2 linked regions of the Notamacropus eugenii genome follow. The protein of the gene in region 2 binds, or shares a complex with, the protein of the main gene of each other region. Links are inferred from orthologs where the notes say so. Each region holds a gene or a part of one and is shown on either strand. Other genes may lie near its edges. The genes, in order: PDLIM5 and AAK1.

Region 1 (11,779 bases), on a different chromosome or scaffold from region 2:
GTGTCCACAAACAAGGAAGTACCTTAATCTTGTTTTTTTTTTAGCCCACAGCAGAAAAAAAAAAGTTTGAGTACAATGTTTAATATAGAATAATACTTCCAAAGCAAGATATCATCTTCAAGCATCTTTACTCATCAAAATTATTCAATAGCAGAAAAGCTACTACACTGAAAACAAGCATAAATCATTAACAAGTAACTTCCACATGGATACTTCATATCCACAGTTTCATCAGACTTTGAAAGGGATTTAAACTGAAAAAGGCAACATCCAAATTGATCTCCCTTGGAACACTTCATGAACAAGGGGAAAGGGACTAAAATTGATTAAAAATACAAACATGATTTATTTAGGTCTCTCACCAAAACACATAGTAATATACCACATTTAATAGTTTATAAACAACTGGGTCCTGTAAGTAGTAGAGATACTATCACCATTTTATGAATGAAAGAAATTGACTCAAACAAGTCAAGTGAGTTGCCCAAGGTCACACAGCTAGTGGTGAGAATGTGGAGGAAGAATTCAAACTCAAGTTCTTTAGAAGTCCATTCTTCTTTCTATTCTTAGAATGGTTTTTATATCACTTACAGATCAGATGAATGAGGGGCAGGTAGGTGGAACAGTGGCATATCAGCCCTGGAGCTAGGAGGACCTTAGCTCAAATCTCATCTCAGGCACTTATCAGCTGTGTAACCCTGGGAAAATCACTTAACCCTGATTGCCTCAAAAAAAAAAAAATTAAATGAATGGAGGATATGAATTATTCTTAAACTGTAAAAATCAATTAAGCTGCACAATTTACCAAATCAATTAACAGCGTTATCTAATGTGGGTAGCAATGGATAAAAACACAGTATGTGCTTAGAATGGAATATTCTCTCAAAAATATGTAACCAAAATATATTTTTAAAAATATACATCTATATTATAAGAAAAAACAAACAGTCAATTTTCAGAAGAGTGCTTGAGTTTTGGTCATTTCACTGTTTACTATCATCTCCACCAGGATGAGAGGAGATATATTACAGTGAAATGAGCTACTGTTTCCCCATCTATAAAATGAGAGGGGTCAGACTTTATAGGGTCCCTTTCTAGCTCCAAAATTCTATGATTCCCCAGGTGATCAACATGGAATTTTGAGAGCATAAAGGGATCTCACAAAACATCTCATTCGACCAATTTCTCATTTTACAGATGAGGATACTGAGGGACAGAGATTGACTCATCAAAGTCATATAAATAATTAGTGACAAAGTTGGGGGTAGAACTCAAGTTTTCAGCCCAGTGTCTTTCCTATTGTGTAAAGTAACACTTTTGCCTCAGATAAGATGTTTGGGGACAAAAATTGAAACTGATCACTAAAAATGGTGACTTGGTGAAATCTGTGTATTTCTTTACCCTCATCATTCTTTCTGGATAGCTGATAACTTGTATGTCCGTGTCATGAGAGACAAACCTTCTACAGTATGAATGGTGGGTATATTCAATACATGGTTTCATTCACAGAAAGACTTCTTTCTACCAATTAAGTACCATATGATGCAATGAACATTTGTTTAAAAGCTGTAAAAATATACTTACACTAGAGATGGTCAAAGGCATGTTGAAGTCCTTGCCACCTTGAAGTCGAAAGCCCCAAGGAGCTGGGCCAACCAAGGAGATGTTGTAGTTGCTCATGGTTCTTGTGGTTCAAAGTTTACTTTTGGGTAATAAAAGCACCTATGAAGGAGAATTAAATAACTATTTAAAAGGCTTATTGAAAAACCTAAGTCATCTTTAAGTAGTCTATTTTAAAGAAACATAATAATGTTTAGGAGTGTGTGTGTGTGTGTGTGTATAAAATGGGAGTGATATTAAACTCTCATAAATTTCCATCTAAGAAAAGGGATCCAAGGGTTTAAATGTAATTACTACAGGTCTGCCAGTTTCCATAATATGAAAATTCCACCCCAGAATATATTTCTAGACATGAACATTTTTTACAACTTGCTGAAATCCAATTTTATTCCATGTGGCTTCTTTTATAAAATTGTAACTGAAAAGTGCTTTGCAGTCTTCTTTTAATGCATATTTGAAAAGAGAAAGACTATTTCAGACTTAATTTCAGATGATCTCCTAACACACATCCACCTCATTCTTTTGACTATAGTTGGCAAGAAGCCTTCAGTTCGACGTTATTCTGAGTTCCCCGTAACACCTGTGAGGATACTACAGCCTGTAAATCTGAGGGATTCAGTACCCTGCTTTTCAAATACTAAATTCATTCAAATTGTTTTCCATTAAAAAACTACAATTAACAAACTATATGTTGCAATCCATTGTGTTTTCAGGATTTTGCTGTCAAAGTCTACAGCAATTTTCCTCCCAAATAGGCAATGCTGTGTGACATTTTTGTCAGGGTCTTGGAAGGGAGGGGGAAGAGAGAAAATGAGAGGGAATGCAAGTCTTTGGAAAGGTTAAGAGCGCATCCCAATCTACCACAAGCTAGAAGACTGACTTCAAATACAAGCTCCACTACTTATTGCAGTGTGCATAAAGTGGACAAGTCACTTAACTCCTTTGGGCCTCAGTTTCCTCATTTGTAAGGTGGGGGAGGAGAGCACAAGGTTGCACAGTGCACCCGCCCTAGTGTAAGGAGGACTGGAGTTCAAATCTGGCCTCAGACAGTTGACACTTACTAGCTGTGTGACCCTAGGCAAGTCACTTAACCCCAACTGTCTTGGGGGGAGTAGGGTGAAGGCTTAGACTTGATGACCTTGAAGATCTTGCCAGTTCCATGATCCTATGATTACTATAAAACAGATGCCAGATGCCTAATATAGAAATTATGGGAGAATCATAACCTACAAGATAAAATGCTTTCCAGTGTGCCCCTGTTTAAACCACTATTAGCCCTATGTTGCATTTGAATTTACAGAAACAAAGTCTGCACATTTATATGATTATTTGGGAGTAGGGAAAGGTTTAAGCCACATTGTTTTTTTTAAAGCAACCATGTGAAACTTTTAAAAATGAGAGGGAAAAATGTGTGTGAATGTGTGTGTATATATGTGTGTGTGTACTTACATATATACATATACATGTGTATAAATACATATATCTATATCTAGATAGATAGATGATAGTTAGATAGATAGTCACTTCCCTTGTAGTGATGACTGCTGATCAATTTTAAGCATTTACAATATTTTTGACAGTCACTTCTAAAATATTTTTTCAGGATCTCAAGAGATCTAAATTTCTGTATCTATGACATATTCATAATCACAGTTACAAATACGAATCACTGAGGGTCCTAAAACCAAAAACTGCCTATCTACCTCATACTAGCTTCTGCTTTCCATAAAGGAAAAGACAGCAGAAAATACAAGGAAATCTTGGAAGATGCCCAGCCATGGATCAAAGTTAAGTAGATGAAACTAGGTTACAGATTACAGGATTTTAGACTACTTTCCCCCCCAGGGAAGTAATGCTGAATTAATGCCTAAATGGTTAAAGAGCAGGCTCCCTATATAACTGGAAGAATTTCTAGCACATATGAGAATATTTCCTAACTGCAAAAAGCAGTAAGCAGAGCTACATGACTTGTGTTTTCCCCTTTCTAAAAAAGAAATTCTTTGCATTGATTAAAGAAAGATGGCAATGCCAATTCAGAAACCACATGCTGACGTCTTTCCCCACCACGTAAAAAACTGACTCTGTATTTTATAGGTACAAATAGCTCCAATTGGTTCAACTTCCTCTGACCTCTAATATTCTTTGCATGAAAACTCATGTAATGTGAATATAAACGCGTACAATTAGTTAATCTAAGGTTTCCTTTTTTTCTCCTTCACTGTTAAATATTTTGTACCAGCAATGTCAAAGAAGATATGCTTTGTACTTTTATTTTCTGTATTTTCCTCCATATTTTGCTCACCTTAAAATATATTTAAGTCTTGTTATTACTATTGGAATTTCTCAGAGTATCATGAAAACCATCATATGACAACTCCCCCCAAACTTAACATACCCAGCAGACAGGAACTTAAATTTAGAAATGTAAAAAATGTTGGATTTCGTATGGATCTGGGTTCTTTGGGAAGTCAAAACAATCTGTAAAGTGGCTGCAGCCTGTAAGGAACAATACACACACAGGAAGCTTAGTATCTATCCCACACACTTCCAGTATTCCAGCTGTCTTTTAAGAAGAAAAAAAAAGCCTCCCATTTACCAGAAGGTAATGAAAATAAACAACGATCCAAACAGAAAAACTCATTGCTCTACCAAAACACCTCCTAGGACAGGTTGAGAGTTAAGAACACGGGAGGTTACAGCTGAAGGGCTAAAAAGCTACAGGCACAGGATGAAAGAGGTCGGCCAGGCAGCTTTCCATAAGGCAGGCTCCCGCTTCTCCCTGTTGGCCAAATAAGGCGCAGGAGCTGGCTGGTTTCAGACGCCTTGACAGTCAGGAAGCTTGAACCCGAGGATCAGATCGAGCGATCACACCCTAAACCTGCCCAACCCAGCTTAGCTATGAGTTTGTTTTCTGAGCACTTATTTCTTCCCGGCCTCGTTCTACCCTTTTATTTTTTCCCACTTGTTGTCAAAGACAAAGTCTTAAAAAGAAATACCTAATACTTAAAAAAAAAAAGCATTTGTAGCTCAGACTAGTGCAAAAAGCATTTATTAAATGCTAGGCACTCTGTCTGGCCCTGGGAATAGGGAGAAAACTGAACGCCTCTGACCTCAAGGAGCTTCCTTACTGGCTTGTATTTTCAAAATTTATTAATGAGGATTTACTTTATTGCCGGTTCAGCTGGAACTGGCCACAAACAGGTTACACAACTGTAAATAATTCGCTTTTGCAAAAGAAAAGCAACTCTCGGAGACAGATTCATGTGCATGTGTATTTCAAAGGAAAGGAAATAAACAACCTCCTGCTCTCCCCACCCCCCACCCCCAAGAAGAGAAATACCCACTAAAATAATCAGCAAAAAGTGTAAATGAAGGCAGTGCCCAGGAGCCAATGGCTGCGGGCGGGCTGACAGGCTGACCGGCTGGCACAGCCGAGCGGGGGAGGCTTCTGGGGCTTTGCCCGGAGGCTCTTTCCGCTTCGGGAAGGCTAGGCTGGGCAGGGCTGGGCTGGGTAGGCGAAGGTGCCGCCGCCGCCGCCTCTCGCCCGCCTGCCCGCGCTCCCACTCCCTAGCGGGCTCCCACCGAGCCTCCCCAAACGGTAGCCGCCGGCCCCTCCCTCTCCGCCCCCGGGCCCCGGGCAGCGGCCACAGCCCTCCCTGCCGGTGATCGCGCCACCTCCCCGCGCTCCCTCCACAGCCAGCTCGGGCGCGATGCGCTCCGGAGGGCACAAGGCTCTCCGCTGGCGCCGGAGCCTGGCTGAGCACCTGAGGACCCCGCACCGCTGCGGGACTGAGACCGCTCGCGCCTCTGTCCTCCTCCACGCCTCCCCTTTCCCTTGCCTCCTCACTTCTAGGGTATTCACCGCTAGTCCTCCCGGGAGCCGGGCTCGGGCACTCACCCACAGGGCAGGAGCTGCGCTGTCTCAGGCGCGGGGCAGCGCTGACAAGTGACGGACTCCCAAGGCGGCTGAGCCAGGCTCCTAGCGGGCACTTCCGCCTCCACTTTCTCCCGCGGCTCCTCCCACGTCCCGGCCCAGGGGGGAAGTCCTCGGCCCTGCTGGCTCCCGGGGCCACTCCCCTCCAGGGATCGGGAAGTGTGTCTCCAGTATAGGGAAAATGGACAGGGAAAATAGCTGCGCTAGGAAAAAGCCTTCCAGGAGGGGAAAGGTGGCCAGGGGCATCTGAAGCGCAGCCTTCCTACCTCGGAAACCAGAGTGGCACATCGCAAAGATTCCCATTTCCTCCGCAGCTCTGTTTCTTTCTCTGTATGTCTTGTATTTATAAAGTAATCAAATTTTTACTAAAATGGAAATGCCGATGGCTAAGATTTCCCCAGCCATGCGAGTTCAGGGAATCCCCTCCTATATAGTACAGGAGATTCCAGTGTGCTCATAGAACTTTGGTACAATCAGTATCTTTTCAATGAAGGAAAAGGCCAGGAATCCCATACTTCAGATGAAGAAAGGGTGACAGTTCCCCTCTTCCCCCCACCTTCCCCCAGGAGTGAAGAAATCTGGGAGAATAACGATCGCTGGTGATTGTATCACACTGTATAGCTTGAAAAGGGCCTCGTATCATTTATGGAAAATACGTAACATTATATTACAAATACATATACTCCCTAGATATGAGAAGTAGTGAGTGGGTAGAGTTGATCAGGGAAGACCTGGTCAGCATCTAGTCCAGCCTTTGACCCTGGGCAAATCGCTTAGATTTTCAGACAATAACAGTCAATAAACCTTTATTAATCATTCACCATGTGCTAGGCACTGGGCGAAGCTCTGGAGAAGAAAAAGAGGCAGAAAAAAATAGTCCCAGTTCTCTAGGGGCTCAGCGGGGGAGAAAAGCAAACAAATATGTACTAACAAGTTATATAGGATAAGTGAGAACTAATTAGGGAGGGCGCTAGAATTGAGACGCGGGAAAAGACTTCCTGTAGAAGGTGGGAAGATGGGGTCTGAGTTGGGACTGAGGGGAAGCCAGAGCGACCGGTAGGCAGAGATGAAGAGGAAGGACATTTCAGGTATGGAGGACGGCCAGAGAAAATGCTAGAGATCTGGTTCTGGAACAGCAGTGTCAGTGGATGAAGAGATGAGAAAATGGTGGGAAAGGGTAAGGTGTAAGAGGACTGAAAGGAGGGCAGCCAGGCGGCTTGGTAGATAAAGTACTGGCCCCAGAGGGAGAAAAACACCTGAGTTCAAATCCAGTCTCAGATGCTTAATGGTTCAGAGATGTGTGACTCAAGGCAAGTCAACTTTGATTGTCTCACTAGAAAAAACAGAAGAAAACTGGAAAGGGGTTTTTTTTTTTTTTTTTGGGAGAAAGGGGAAAAAGGAATTAGTTATGAAGGTCTTTGAATGCCAGACAGGATTCTGTATTTGATCCTGGAGGTAAAAACGATCCACTGAAGTTTATTGAATAGAAGGGGTGACATCCTGGGACCTGTGCTTTGGGGAAATCACTTTAGTGGCTGAATAGAGGATTGATAGGAGTGGAGAAAGACAGGCAGACCCACTAGCAGGCTGTTGAAGAGTCCAGGCAGGAGGTAATCAGGGTCTGCACCAGAGTGGTGACAGTAAGAGGAGAGAAGAATATTTGAGAGATGAAATCCACTGGCCTTGGCAAAATATTGGATATGAAGGGGTGAGAGTGAGAAGTGGAGGATGACTCCTAGGCTTGGAGGTGTTTCTCAGGGCTGTAAATTCCATAAAAGATGCTAACCTGAAACAACAGAGGGAATTACCTTACCTTACTCATGAAATAACATGCCAGTCCCTCTTCTTATATCTACACATAGATATATGCTTTACTTTTCTCTTAACATACACATACACAAGACTGACATGCATTTTTGGAGGGAATGAGATCACAGATCCATCATGGTATGGAAAGAACTTTGCTGATCTTCAAAGGGGCAAAATATAAATTTCCTTTGTTGATTTACGTGTGGATAGCAATATAGTCTCCCCTAGTAGAGTATAAACTGCCTGAGAGCAAATATTGTTTCACTTTTGAGTCTGCTGAGCATCCCAGTGCTAGCAGTAGGTACTCAATAAAATCTTTTTTATTGGCTCTATCCTTGGAGTCTCAGGACAGCTCTGTGAGTTAGATACTACAAGCATTACTATTTCAGTTTTAGACATTAGAAGTCTGAGAATACACAGCTGGTAGAAATCAGAGGCAGGCTTGGTGGTCTCTCTTGGTGCTATGCTCAAGTCACTAATTCCTCCCTTTGTCTGAATTACTAACTTATTTCCCAGCTTCTATACGGATATTTATTTAGTGCTGCCCAATATCTAGCCAAAGAGCAGCATGTGTCTAAATGTGTGAATAAGTGTGGCTAATGCCTAAATAATTTTGCATTTGGATATTTTGATATGTTACAGAAGGACTTGGAGTCAGAAGACCTCAGCATCGCTTAAACTCCGAATTTCCTAACCTGTAAAATGGAAGTTGAAATACTTGTACTCTGTATGTCAGTGAGCTGTTGGGAGAAAAGCACTTTGCAGACCTTAAAGCCATGTGTAGATGTGAGGTTAAATTACATAGTCTTGAAGCAATTCATTCATTCATTCATTCATTCATTCATTCATTCATTCATTCAAGAAGCACTGAGCAGGTACTATGTGCCATATCCTTTGAGAGGGACTAGGGGTGCAAAGACAAAAATGAAACAGTTCTTGAATTCAAGGAGCTTATATTCAATTGAAGGGATTCAACATCCACATAGGTAAAGAAATATAAATATGTAAAAAATTATAAAATAGCATTTAGGAGGAAGGCAGAACAAAAGGGGATGGAGTCAAGATGGACCCTAGTTTAGGAACTGTCACTTAAGCTGAACCTTGAACCTTGAAGGAAGCTAGACATCTTAACAGATAGGGGTGAGGAGGCAGTGTGCAAACCCAGCCTGGGGACAGCCTGGGCAAATGCAGAATAGTCCAACTGAGCAGGAACCTAGAATAAGTGACGGAGAGTTTGGAGAATGAAAATGGAAGATGGATTAAAGCCAGATTGTGAATTATTTTAAAAGCCAGAGGAGTTTTATTTTATTCTTTAAGTAAGAGGGAGATACTGGTGCTTTTTGAGCAGGGGAGTCCCATGCTTGGAACTTGGCTTTGGGAATATGACTTTGGCATCGATGTGGAAGATGGATTAGAGATGGGAGAGAAGGGAGGTAGGAGGACCAATTAGGAAGTGATTGCAATAGTCCAAGTAAGAACTGATGGAAGACCTGAAAGAAGGTAGTGATTGTGATATGAACAATGTTGTATATGTGGAATTGACAGGATTCAACAACTGATTGGATATGCAGACTAGGAAAGAGTGATTTGGGGAGGATAATAGAGAGGCTGGGCTCCTGAGTGATTACAAGAGGAAGGAGACAGCATGGTATTGTGGACTAGGGCACTGGACTTGTAATCAGAAAGATCTGGATTCAGATCTTGACTCAGATAACATATCTGTTATTTGACTACACAAATATATCATATCATATTATATCATATATTATATCATGTCATACTATACTGTATTATATTATGGTATGTTATTAAATTATATTTTATATATATAATATTTTTAATATTATATATAGTTATAATTTTATATTACATATTTTATTACATTATATATTTATATTATATATAATATATTTATGTTATATATAACTATATATTAATATGTAATGTATATTAAATTATATATGATATATAAACATAATATATATTAAACTATGTTATATTAAATTACATTGTTACATTATATTTATTATGTTGTTATATTATATTACATATGTGCATACACACATATCTATATCTGTATCTATCTGTCTAACTATCCCATCTCCTTAACCTCCCTGTGTTTCAGTTTCCTCATCTATAAAATGAGGGTTTGGGCTACCTTTAAGGTCCCTTTCAGTTTTAAATCCATGTTACTACTATGGTACTGTTGACAGAAATAGAGAAGTTAGGAAGAAGGGGGAGGGGAAGGAGAAATGATCAGTTCTGCTTTGGATGTGCCTTTGGGACAGATACCCAACGAGAAATGCCCGATATGCATTTGGTGATGTAGGACTCTAAAGACTGGGGTTTATATTTGTCGATTTGTCGATTGGGAGTCAAGTGCATAGAGATGCTCACTGAATACATGGGAGCTAATGAGATCACTTAGAGAAAGACTGAATAGTGAAAGAAAAAAAAGAGAACCTAGGATGTGGTCTTGGGGAATACCAATAGTTAAAGAGCAGGAAGAAGAGGATTATTCTAGCAAAAGAAAGCCATCTTTCTGTTAAGTTAAGAAAATGTGAAAAGTGAGGAGCCCTAAAACAGAAAGAAGTTTCTTCCCAATAAAAGTGAGAATTCCAGAATATGAAGGCAAAAAGGTAGGCTGAAATTAATGGAGCTGTTCATGGGGTAGGGCTGAGGTGAAGAGGCACAGAAGTATAGAGAAAGAGAAGAGACAGCACAGTTTTTTGCCTCAGTGTTTGCTGATCCTGAAGCACAGGAATAGGAGTATTAGAATCTGGGAATGTGTCTACCATAGAAGGACCAGTTGCAATGGACCCCCTCCCTTCTAGGGGTATGATGGCTGAGTATAGAAGGAGTGAAGACTCCCTGCCTCTCACTCTCAGAGGGTCAATATCTTTAATAATTCTGATATTCTGGTGCCTGAGGAAGATGAAAATATTAGGTCTCTAGGTAATAACTTAGGCTCTGTACACAAATGCAGCACATCCATATAGGAGTTACTCTACACGTAGGACAGGCATTCAGTGCCTGATTCCACTCCCAATCCCATCCTCACACAGTGTCTTTTTTAAATTTTACTAAAAAAACCAATCAGCAAAACTAATCAATGCCTAGGGAAAATTTGACATGTATATAATTTTCTAGACCCATGGACACTGCCCCCCACCATATCCATGAGGTATTTTTAATGATTCAGAGATTTTTCTGAAACAAAAGCCTATCTTTTAAAATAATATTCAAGTGATGTCTCATAACTGTGAGTCATGGAATATCAAGGTCTCCGAAGAATTAAAGTTGAGGGTCCACCCAAGGGCAAGGGAGAGGTGCATGGTAGATGAGAATAGGCCACAACCCTTTGCCAACCAAGAATTTCTCTAGAGAAGCATTATTGAAGATGAAATTAGAGAGATGTACAATCTGAAAAGGAGAGTTGGTCATGAGGCAAGATGGGGGGACCATTGATAGACCATGTGCTCGACCGGTAGCCACACAATATCAAGAGATCCAGAAGAAGGTTCTAGTATGTTGGGTGGACTCCCTGTAGGTGATTAATGGGAGAACTCAACCAATACCTTAGGGTTCAGGGTCTGAAATTTCTTTGAGTCCCCCTTCAGAGAAGATATTCTAATACCACTTTCCAATCCCATTCCCATTTAGACTTGCTAAATAGGGAAAACCTGTTAGACTTCATAGGGTGTGTAAACAATTGGAATTCCCCACCATCAGTTACAGTCTTTAACGTACTCTTACCCTCTCACCACCTTGTGATCACCTAGCAGAAAGCAGACACTTTTGTAGTACATTAGTAGAAGCCAGGTATGGTGGTGGTAGTAACTTGACTGAAAAACTTCACAAGGATACAGTGGTGTATGATGCCATGGGCAGAGTGCTGAATTTGGTGTTGAGTGTTCAAATCCCTGGTTTGCCACTTAACTACCTGTGTGACATTAGATAATTACCTAACCTCTCAGTGTGATAACAGAAAGAGTGATAACTCTGGAGTCTTTGTTGCTTACTACCTGCATGACCTTGGACAAGTCACTTATCATCTCTGTGCCTCAGTTTGCTCACCTCCCTGCCTTAAATGAATGACACTATCATGTCTCTGTCTCAAATCTTTCATCTGTAAAGGGGTATGTTTGACTAGATAATCTTTAGATGACCTGTAGGGTCGCTTTCCACTCTACATCTATGATACTAAACTCTGCGTCCCCTAGAACCTAGCAAAGTACTCTGCACAAAGCAAGGGATTAGTATTTGTTGTTTGAGTACATGTTTGTTGAATGAATTCAGTGAATGAATGGAAATCAAACTAGTTCCATCTTCTTTATTTTCATGCTCTTACTAAATAATCAATTGAACCATAAATACAACTAAAATAACATTTCCCAGTGGATCCTAACGAGCTCA
Region 2 (10,851 bases):
TAGCAGTGTAGGACCAAGGAATTGTGTTGGCAAGACATATCAACCCTTACCATTCAAGTTCGGTGATATGGAAGATACTTGACTAGCTTAAGACTGAACTGGACCAGCAGCTGCTGTGAAACCAGAGTCACTGATAAGTTCAGGCAGAAGAACAATCTTCCTCCTTTCTCCAGTTTTTCACTGAGCCAATCTCATAAGAGCATAGGTTCACAGAGCCAGAGCTGGAAGGAATCGGAGAGGTTGTTTGGTCCAGATCTGCTGCTGCTTTTTCAGATCCCATCTTGCTCAGGCTGCACATGCAGAGGCTGCTCACAGGCCTTTCTCACCACTGATTGGCACATGAGCTTTAACCTGCTCTGCTTCTGACCCAAGACAGTTTGCTTTACAGGGGTGTGTGCTGGAGCCACATCTGACCCTGTAGAGCTATTGTGAAGTTTTCAGTATGAGCATTTACACCTCAGAAACTGCCAGACCCACAGGTCAGGGCCTGATCTACTCTTCTGTTAATTGTCACCAGAAGGGCAACACTCCAGCCTTTGTAGAATCAAGTTAAAATGTAACTGAGAAATGCTTAACAAAATAAATTTTAAAATACAATGCAACATATTATTAATGCTATTGTTTAATAGTATCTGAGTTTTTATGACCCTGTGGACCATGCAGTTTTCTTGGCAAGGATATTAGAGTGGTTTGCCTTTTCCTTCTCCAGTGGTTTAAGGCAAATGGAGGTTGAGTGACTTGCCCAGGGTAACACAGCTAGTAAATATCTGAGGTCACATTTGAACTCAGGTCGTCCTCACTCCAGGCCAAGTGCTCCACAATGCAACATAATGTTAACTGGTGTTTTTCTGAGTCAACCACAGTCAATCACAATTCATTTCTATTTAAATTTGACACTACTAGTCTAGATCAGAGGGGTCAAATATGCCCTTCAGCACTCCTTAGCGCAGGGAGAACTAAATTAAAATGCACTGGGAAATATTTAACAAAACAAATAAAAACACAACAGAACACAGATAATGCTAATATGTGGTTCTCAAGTCAGAGGGCAGCAGGGATCCTTTGCAGTTATCTATTTGAGTTAGACACTGCTTAACTAGACTTCGGAAAGTGATGGAGAAATGTGAATAAGGCAGATAAAGTTTAAAATATATCATTTGTACATTTTGGGGGGAGGACAAGTTGTTAAATATTTACCAGTACACCACTAACTTTAGGCAACCTGGTGCTCCCCACCCCCAACTCCAGAGGCTTATCATATTAATGCTGAATTTAGCACGGACTGATCTGCATAGTCCACAGAAACTCAAGAGATTCACCACTCTCAGTCTTCAGATGGCTGGGATTACAGGAGTATACCACTATACTCAGCCAGGGATTATTAACCTTTCCTGTGTCGCAGATGCTTTGGGCAGTCTTTTCTCAAAATATTTTTGAATATATAAAATAAAATACACAGGATCACAAAAGAAGCAATTATATTGAAATACAGTTATTAAAAATTTTTTTATTGAGCCCGAGGTTAAAAACCCCTCTAACCCTCTTATTTTATAGAGGAAGAAAGCTGATGTCCACTGAAGTTAAGTGGTAATCATCAGATGTATGGATTTGAACTCAGATCTTCTGACTTCAGAGGCAGTGCTACTCCTTCTTTAAAATTTTTTTCAATTACGTGCAAAATTAATTTTAAACGTACATTTTAAAAAATTGAATTCCAAAGGCAGTGCTATTTTAAATCTCAATGAGTGCCAAATTCATGAACCCTTCCTTTATTCTACCCTCCTGTCCTCCTCCTCTATAAGTGGGGAGATCAGGATTAGTAGATCAATTTAAATAGCTTCTTTACAATTTTGCTATCTGATAGTTTCTTTGCATATTTTAATAAATCACGTAGTAGCTAAAAAGTCAGTTGTCTGGATCTCAGTTGGTCAACAAGAACAGATTTCCCAAATTCCCTCAACAGGAGTAATTAGAGGTTTCCAACAATCTTAATATTTTAGAACTACTGTATATTTCATGTTCATACATGTAGATCTATATTGAATTGGGGGCAAATTGCCCAAAGAAACTTGGTGTGGTGGGAGTGGGTTGTGGTCTGAAAATTTATGAACAATTGCCATATAGGATACTTTTACCTTTGGAAAAACTAGCCCATGTTCACTAAATACCTACTGATAAAACCACTAGGTGGGTGGCTTGATGGTATTGCCACCTGGTGGTCAAAATATATATTTCCCAGTTACTCAAATAATTAAGGGGTATCCACTTTTGTTTAACTTGTGGAAAGCTGTGTTATAAGCCCATCATGGATGGCTGTTTCAAAGAGGAAACCAAAGACACCTACCAAGGCATACCTAAGCCACATCAATTATCACATGTGATTCTGCAGCTAATCAAAGATATAGAATTTATAGCTAGAAGAAGCCCTAGAGATTATTTAGTCCAATCCCTTCATTTTACAGATAAGGAAATCAATTAATTAATGAGCAAGTATTTATGAAGTATCTGTTTCAGGCACTCTCTTGTTCACTGGGGATTCAAAAACAAAAAATGAAATAGTCCTTGTCCTCAAGAAGTTTATATTCTATAAGAGAGACAATCAGTACATAATTAAGACATTAAAAAAGTATACACAGAATAAATACTAGGTAAAATGTGTGTGTGTGTGTGTGTGTGTGTGTGTGTGTGTGTGTGTGTGTGTGTGTGTGTGTGTGTGTAGAGGACACTAGTGACTGGAGAATGAGGAAAGGTTTCACGTAGAAGGTGGTCTTTGAGCAGTTCTAAAGCAAACAAGAAATTCAAAGAGGAGAAGGTAAAGAGAGAGGAAATACCTGGACCACACTCAAGAAAAGATATGAAGATGGAAGATGGAATGTCACATATGAAGAACTGCACGATTAGTTTGGCCACATCATAGTAAGTACTGCCCTGTTATAATAATTAGTTTGTTTTAAACCTGGAGTGATCCAATTTAGGTTCCTAAGGTCCAGGAGTTTTCTTCTCCAACAATAGGGAATTGATTTTAGATGAAAAGTTCTGAGTTCCATCACAATAACTCTGAGCCCCCAGTTTGGAAAACTCCTAATATATTAACCAAAGTTTACGTTTATATCTTGCACAAGTTAACCCCCCAGCCTCTTTGAAGTTGACACAAAATTCAATTCACTAGAAACATTAGTGTAACAAAACGTAGATTATATTATAGTGAATGTGAGGCAGAGACTGGGAGGGGAAGTTGGGGAATGAGCCCAGTTTTTTCTTAGATCTTCTCCTAGCATAAGTCCTCTGCTCCCAAACTTTTCTAGAGCTGATGTTTCTCTTACATAGCATCCTTCTCTTTCACAGCTCATTCGCTCCTTAGGTGTATGCTGGAAGGCCAGCCTCTTGAATCTAGACCCTCAGAATCTTTTCTTCTGCATACTTAGCTTCTTCCTTTAAGCAAATTCCTTAGGACATGATCCTGTCTTTTAAAAAATGGCTTTGATTGAGGCAGGTAGGTACCTGCTCTGTTTAGGCCCTGTTCACACTCAATTCTAATTGTTTAAGTCAATAAAAAGTGTTCATACCTAACAAGGGATATTACTTAAAGTGAGTGGCATAATCTAATGGAGTCCACCATAGCAAATACATAATATAACCTTGGAAATGTAAGTTGTCACCAGGTTGTGAAGGTCTTTAAAAGTCAGACTAACATATTTTATTCTAGAGGTAATTATTTATTGAATGGGGGACTGTCATGGTCAGACCTTTACTTTAGGAAAATCAATTTCACAGCTGCATGTAGAACAGATTAGCAAGGGGAAAGAAATGAGGTAGGGAAGACAATTAGGAAGCCTTGCAACAGTCCAGACAAAAGGTGATGAGGGCATAAACTAGGGTTGTGGCCCTGTGTCTAGAGAAAAAAAGACATGTCAAAAATGTAAGGGAGAAATGACAATATTTGGCATCAACTTGAAAGAATAAATGAATAAAAGACATTCAATAATCATATTAGCGAAAATTTAACAGTCAGCTCACAGGGGCTCTCAGGCTGGTTCTGGCATACCCCTCTGCGTCTGCCACTGTGCTAAGTGATGAGAATACCAGTATAAGCAAGTAAATAGTCCTTGACCTGAAGGAGTGAACAGTCTAATAAGGTAAGGCAACACATAAAGGGGAGCTGAAAGGATGCAGGGGATTAGACTAGTAGGAAACTGACTGAAAAGTAATAGGAAGTCTGATTCTGGGCAAGGAAGGGTAAGAGCTGACCTATTGGGGTCCAAGGTCCCAGGGGCAGAGTTCTGGTTACAGTGGGAAGGGAATGAGGAGGATAACCAAAATGAAAACGGCATAGTTTTGAACTGGATGTGTGAATATACATGTGGGGTGAAGAGAAACTAAAGCTCCAGGATAATGTCAATGTACAACACTGGTGACTGGATGGTGAGTGATACCTATAACAGAAAGAGCGAAGATGAGAGAGGAGTAGCCTAGAGAGGTGATGTAATTTCCCCAAGGACACACAAGTAGGGAAGACTTTCACATAATATGTGCTTTACACATATCTATATGTAGTTTCTGTTAAGTAGCAGAGCCAGAATTGGAAGTCAGATATTCTGAATCCAAGACCAAGTATTTTCTCAATCACCTTGCTTCCAATTTCTATTTCCTTCTGCCCCCACCTTTACTACTATATACGGTTCCACAATAAATTCAGTCATCTCATACACCCACACCTAAATGATGAATGGGCAACCTCTATCCAGAATTTAACTCATAATTAAAACAAAAATGACCCCAAGCACAAGTGTTTCCTGATAATATCAGCCAAAGGAGAGCAGGGTAAAAACGGACTTCTTATAGTTGACAGGCTAAAAAATGTCCCTATACCATCACAATTCATGAGAAGTAAGGTGGGTGAAAAGCAGGTGGAAGAGAGTGGTGGGGAGGTAGAGAGGATTCTAGGAAAATGAAAGTCCTCACCTTTTTACTGGTTAAGAAGCTCTGAATTGTACAGGTGGTTGCCTTGGAAACATTGTTCTGTTTACAATGCCATCTTCATTTGTCCTGTTACAGTGATGCTAGGAAACCACTGGGTGAAGGTAACTCAGGATCGGGAGAGGATGGGAGGAAATGATAACCACTCTCAGTAGGTATAGGGGTGCTGAAAAAGGTTCTTTGGGACTTGACTGTTTTAATTAGGAGAATTTCTTCCTAAGAGTTAGAGTTTAAGGGTAGTCTACCATCATTATGTCAGTCTACCACCATCATGGAATTGCAGCAGGTATTAAGAGATGTAAATGGAAGAAAAGGTCTGATTTTTTTCTTCCCCCTCTTCTTCCAAATCCACTGAGCAATGGAAACTGTAGAGTCTCTCGGAGCTTTTCAGACTGGCTTTGTCTGGCTCCATTTTTTCTGTGGCCCTCACCTCTCTCACAACTTGACTGGCAGCAGCTGACAGCATAATTAAGGTTGCAGAACATAATGAGGAGGAGGACAGGTAGTCAACCATTTCAACAAGAGTGTAAAGGGTAAAGAAGTAAAAGTTATTTAGATTTAGAAAAAAAAAATCTGGAGTTCTTAGTAGAGAAGGATTAGGAATGTCTTGGCCAGGACCCTGATAAGTGAGTGCAGAAAAAATTCAAGGAGAGGTAGCTTCCAACAATTCTATTGCCGTGCCTCTAGCTAATCTCCAGCAATATCCTCACCAGACTCAGCCTCTACACAAGCCACCAAGGAAGAAACCAGGGTAGAAAAAAACTGCTAATCTTGAGGGAGAATAAAGATAATGAAGTTTTGTTTTTTTTTTTTAAATAAATTCAGGGTAGCTAGGTATACAGTGGACAGAGAACTGGCCCTGGAGTCAGGAAGATCTGAGGTCAAATCCAGCCTCAGACACTTACTATCTGTGTGAACCTGGGCAAATCACTTAACACAGATTGCCTTCTTCCTCCCACCCCCCCAAAAAATAAGGTTGACAACCTATTACCTTTAGTTAAGAAGTGTCCTAGATGTATTGCCTTAACTAGTAATATTAGAGCAGATATTCTTTGATTTTTGAATGTTTGGAGATGATCAATTTTGCTTTCATTGTTTTATTTTGTGAATTAAAAAAAAATTTGACTGGCTTTTTAAATGATGGTTTTTTAAAGTGTGGTACAACAGAAAAGAACATTGAGTTTGGAACCAGAAGACATGGGATTCATTCCCTAGCTCTGCCACTTAGTACCTGTATGACCAAGTTTTATAAACTCTCTGGCCTCAGTTTCTCAATCTGAAAAATGAATGGATTATACTAAATAATTCTATCTAGTATAATCTTTGAGGTCCTTTGCAACTCTAAATCTATGAAACTGTGAAAGAAAAACTTTTGAGGACTGGATGTCCTTGTCAGACCACAGTTGGAATTGTCTGTGATAACATAAGATCATAGATCATAGCTAAAAGAATCTGTAGAAAGTTATCTAGTTCAATCCCTTCATTTTCCAGATGAAAAAATTGACGGCCAGAATGTTAAGTGACTTGCCCAAGGTCACACATGTATGAAAAGGCTGAGGCAAGATATGAATCTAGGTTGCCTGACTCCAAAGTCTACATTCTCTGGGTGCCATCATATATTTTAAGAGGCATATACAAAAAACCCCAAAACACACAAAAGCATATGCAAGATGGAATATGTCTCAAGAAGCATGACCAGGATGACAAAAGACTGTATATCATTCCATAAAAGGATTAGTTGAAGGAACTGGGTCAGAATTTTAACTAGGGTAGAGTGACTAAAACTAGGCCCTTGAGCAGAGAAATTTAAAGGGTGATACCTGCAATTGACTACTTTCTGAAAGTAGAAATAACTGAGCTCAGTACCTAATTAGCAAGAATAATTAACTAAAATAAGGAGCTATCAGTGGCAGGCCTCCTCCCTTGATGACCATAACCCAGGTGAGTCCTTCGCCAGCATGTCTCTACTTCACTATCCCTTCCAGTGGTATTTGTTCTGCAGCAGTCTCCTAATGACCTGAAGTTGAACCTCTATCAAGGCTGGTGTCCTGGGTCTCTCTGTCTCCTTGTCTTTGGGTCTTTTTCTCCAAGGTCCAAGATTCCACTTAGGTCTCCATTACTCCCCAACCCTACCTCTACTATATTTGTATTAAGAAGGTTGTTTGAGGGTACCTCTCGGGCTGTCATCCAGGAAATATTTTGTAGTGCTTTTTCTGGGAAGTAGAATCAGCATTTGTGGCTCTAATACGGGATTTTTAACCTGGAGAGAGGGAAGGTTTTGGGAGAAGAGGGGGGTGGAAGAGATGAGTACTATTGTCATCTTTAAGTATTTGAAAGAACCTCATGTGAAAAAGAGATTTTTTTGTTTGATCTTAGAAAACCAGCACTAGGTAGAATTTCTTCTTCTTCTTCTTCTTCTTCTTCTTCTTCTTCTTCTTCTTCTTCTTCTTCTTTTTTTTTTAATACATTTATTTATTTATTTTTAGTTTTCAACATTCACTTCCACAAGTTTTAAATTTTCTCCACCTCTCCCCCTTATCCAAGATGGCATGCCATCTGATATAGGCCCTATATACACATTCTTACTAAACAGATTTTCACATTGTTATGTTGTATAAAGAATTAGAACAAATGGGAGAAACTATGAGAAAGGAAAACAAAACAAAAGAGAGCAAATAGTATGCTTCAATCTGCATTCAGACTCCATATTTCTTTCTCTGGATGTGAATGACATTTTCCAGACATCCCTCTAACTTGCTACAGTGTTAACTGCAGTGTTAACTTAGCTAATACAAACTAACAGCTTCTTGGAGCCACAGGTGAGGGTTGAGTGCTAGGTAGACCCCAAAGGAGGATAAGCAGCCCTGAAAAGGGCTCAGCAAAGTCTTCATACCAGAAGTGCCAATCTTCCTTGAACATCCTATATAACTCTTCTGTTGATGAATAGTGGCAGTGGACTAATCTCACCATTATCATCAGAACCTTCTGCTTGGGTGTTCCATCATATACTCTGCAAGTGGTTTCTGCCCTTCTGGAGTGGAACTGTCCATGGGAGAATCTGCTGACCTCAGCACCAGTGGGCCAGCCAGCTCCCCAATTGCTAGGTTGCTAAAATCTCTGCAAGGTTCTGTCTTCAGTTCTATCCTGCTCAATCTATATCTATATCTATATCTATATATCAATATCAATAACATAAGTTCATGTGAAGAAGATTTAAGGATTTTAGTTGACTGAAAATTCATTGGATTCAGCAGTGTAATGTGGTTGCCAAAATACTGGTCAGATTTTTTTTTTAACTTTTTAATTCACCAAACATTAGTTAAGTACTTTTTTTTGCTGTTGAAAGAATTGGGGATATTTAAAGTCTTCTTGAAGAAGACTTTGAAGGACATGATCGCTGTCTTCATATATTCAACAAGCTGGCATGGAAGAGGGATTTGACTTCTTTTGTTTCAGCTAACTGCAGGACTGGTTACACCTTAGACCTTCCCATCATTTAAAATTGTTCTGCTTCCCTGATCTTGCCTCCTAAAATTCCCCTTTGTGATCAAGGTCACCTGACCTTATCTCTCTCCATCTCCCTAGCTCTTCTCAAACCTATTCTTTGTCCTCACTGTGACTTTCAATGCCTCAATTTAACCCTTAGAGAGATTATTCATAATTCTCACATCATTTAATTATCATCACACTCCTTCAGTTGACTATTCCAAATCTTCTGTCCTAAGGCCCCAGTGCCCCTTACCCTCTCAGCAGATGACCTCTCTCCTCTCTCTCTCTCTCTCTCTCTCTCTCTCTCACTCACACACAGATGTGCATATATCCTCCCTTTCACTGTTTAATTTGTAAACAAAATTATCTACACTTGTTGCCTCTTCTTCCTCACTACCAATTCATTCTTTAGTCCCTTTCCATCTGGCTTTTGATTCACCCTGCACACATTGTCCACCTCACCCACATTCTAATTCCATAATATCTCTCCCAACTGCTTCTTCCTCTCCACTGACAAGGCTATTAACCTAGCTCAGATAGATATTATCTTATGTCTCAACTATTTAAAGTCTCTTAATTGTGTCATTATTTTCCTCCTCTTTAATCTACCCTTCACAAAGCTACAAAAATATTCTTCCCAAGACATGTCTGTCCATATCACTCCTTGATTGGAAACTTTCATTGACCCCATGTTTATGAGCCTCTACAATCTTTCTCTAAACTTCCTTTCCAGACTTGTTTCATATCATTCCTCTGTGCCCATTCTAGTTTCTAGTTAAATGGTGCTGTTTGTTAATCGCTGGCCTTGACATTTTATCCCCTGCTTCAATAACTTGACATAGGTTTTCCCCATGCCTAAAGTACAGTCCCCCTCATTTTCACCTTTCAGAATCCTTTACCTTTCAGGTAGAGCTTGGGCCATCATCCTCTGTGAGACACTATCCTTGATCCTCTCATTGTTAGTACCTCCTGTCTTCTCAATTTTTCCTAGAATAATTTGATCTTTCCTTTGTTCCTTTCACTCATTTCTTTGTATTGAAGGGTAAGATTATTTTTCTATTATTTTAATAACCAATTATTAAATTAAGATTAAGGTTTTTCCTTTTTATTTCTGCATTCAGGAATCAGCCCTTGTAGGTCATTCAGCCAGTCTCTGAAGGACAAGACTGACAGATGAGATTGGCCCAATCCTTGGGGTACATGCTCCATGGTCTTGGGTGGACCCCACTCAATTAGGGGACCTTACTTTTGCTTAGAGGGATCTACAGAGTCTAATCTAGGTGTATTATAGTCCCAAAGCATTGAGCCCATACCCTTGCATCCCTTCATTGCGGTCTAGAGGAACTCAGCTCATCAAGGAGAAAATCAACCAGAGTAGTCTGGGTAGAGATAAATTCCTTTGTCCAGACTGCTGTAAGTGGCTGAGTCTCGTGATCAAGTAACCACGTTCTCAGCAGGAACAGGGGAAGACTTTTAGCTTACCTCCTTATTAATAGACCCACCCCTCTTGAACTGTTCACCAATCAGGGTTGATTTTCACCTGTCAGGGGCATCTCCTTTTCCAAAGGTATTTAAGCTTTCAAAGATCTCCATGGCGTTGTCTTTGATTATCTAGAGAAACCACTGACCAAAAATTTATTGATCATAGCTAGCCTAATTATTAGTTATCCCAAAACTCTGTCTCTCAGGCTTTTTATTCATCTCTGTATTCTATTGTATCATAAGCTCTACCTGGGCAGGGATTGTTTCCTTTCATATCCCCAGCACCAGGCATAGTGTCTTACACATAGTAAGAACTTAAAAAAATGTGTTGAATTGAATAGATCCAGAAGGTAGGACTATGATCAATGATTCCCTATAATCAATTATAGGGAAGAAAGATTATCACACTAGTCTTGCAACATCCTGCTTGTTGTAGTGGACCTGGATGAGACAGATAGTAGAGCTAGAATCATAGGAGCTAAAAATTGATTGTGGGTGTTGGGATCTCCAAGGAGAGGGAGGGTCAGAGATGAGTTAGAGGTTCTAACCTTGAAATGGTGACAGTGTCTTCAACTAGAACAGGAAAGTGGAAGAGACTGAAGTTTTGGGAAAAGGCTGAGTTCCATCTGGATATGTGAAGTTTTAGGTTTTGTTGGGGGACACGCATACAAAATTCTTGTAATCTGTTTTTGGGAGAGAGATAACCGGCTGTTACATAATTATGTCATATCAGACTTTTAAAAATATCATTGTTTTGTTCATAATAGGCACTTCATGCTTAATTCATTTTTATTATTTGATTGATGTGACTGACTTCCTGGATATGAAATGAGACGACATGTGGCATAGTGCAAAGGGGTCATAGCTTTCTGTATAGCTAATGACACTCCTGAGGGAGACTTG

Evidence for each region.
Region 1: the proteins of AAK1 (region 2) and PDLIM5 are in contact, whole or in part, in a crystal structure (PDB 9F6S), measured with the Homo sapiens proteins. The link is inferred for Notamacropus eugenii from reciprocal best matches to the Homo sapiens genes AAK1 and PDLIM5. Residues at the interface, in NP_055726.4 of Homo sapiens: Asp956, Leu958, Ile959, Asp960, Leu961; in NP_006448.5 of Homo sapiens: Ala12, Pro13, Trp14, Gly15, Phe16, Arg17, Leu18, Phe24, Gln67, Ile70, Lys71.

What each region holds. Positions count from the first base shown.
Region 1 is NC_092878.1:131,764,577-131,776,355, reverse strand, and holds the start of PDLIM5 (PDZ and LIM domain protein 5), read right to left. Parts: upstream 5,641-11,779; 5' UTR 5,519-5,640; exon of another isoform or gene 5,468-5,518; intron 4,117-5,467; exon of another isoform or gene 4,016-4,116; intron 1,723-4,015; 5' UTR 1,681-1,722; coding exon 1,585-1,680; intron 1-1,584. UniProt on the Homo sapiens protein: May play an important role in the heart development by scaffolding PKC to the Z-disk region. May play a role in the regulation of cardiomyocyte expansion. Isoforms lacking the LIM domains may negatively modulate the scaffolding activity of isoform 1.
Region 2 is NC_092872.1:633,957,268-633,968,118, forward strand, and holds the start of AAK1 (AP2-associated protein kinase 1), read right to left. Parts: upstream 5,370-10,851; 5' UTR 5,082-5,369; coding exon of another isoform or gene 5,058-5,081; 5' UTR 4,963-5,057; intron 1-4,962. Other genes in the region: ANXA4 (annexin A4), read left to right, coding at 5,058-5,081.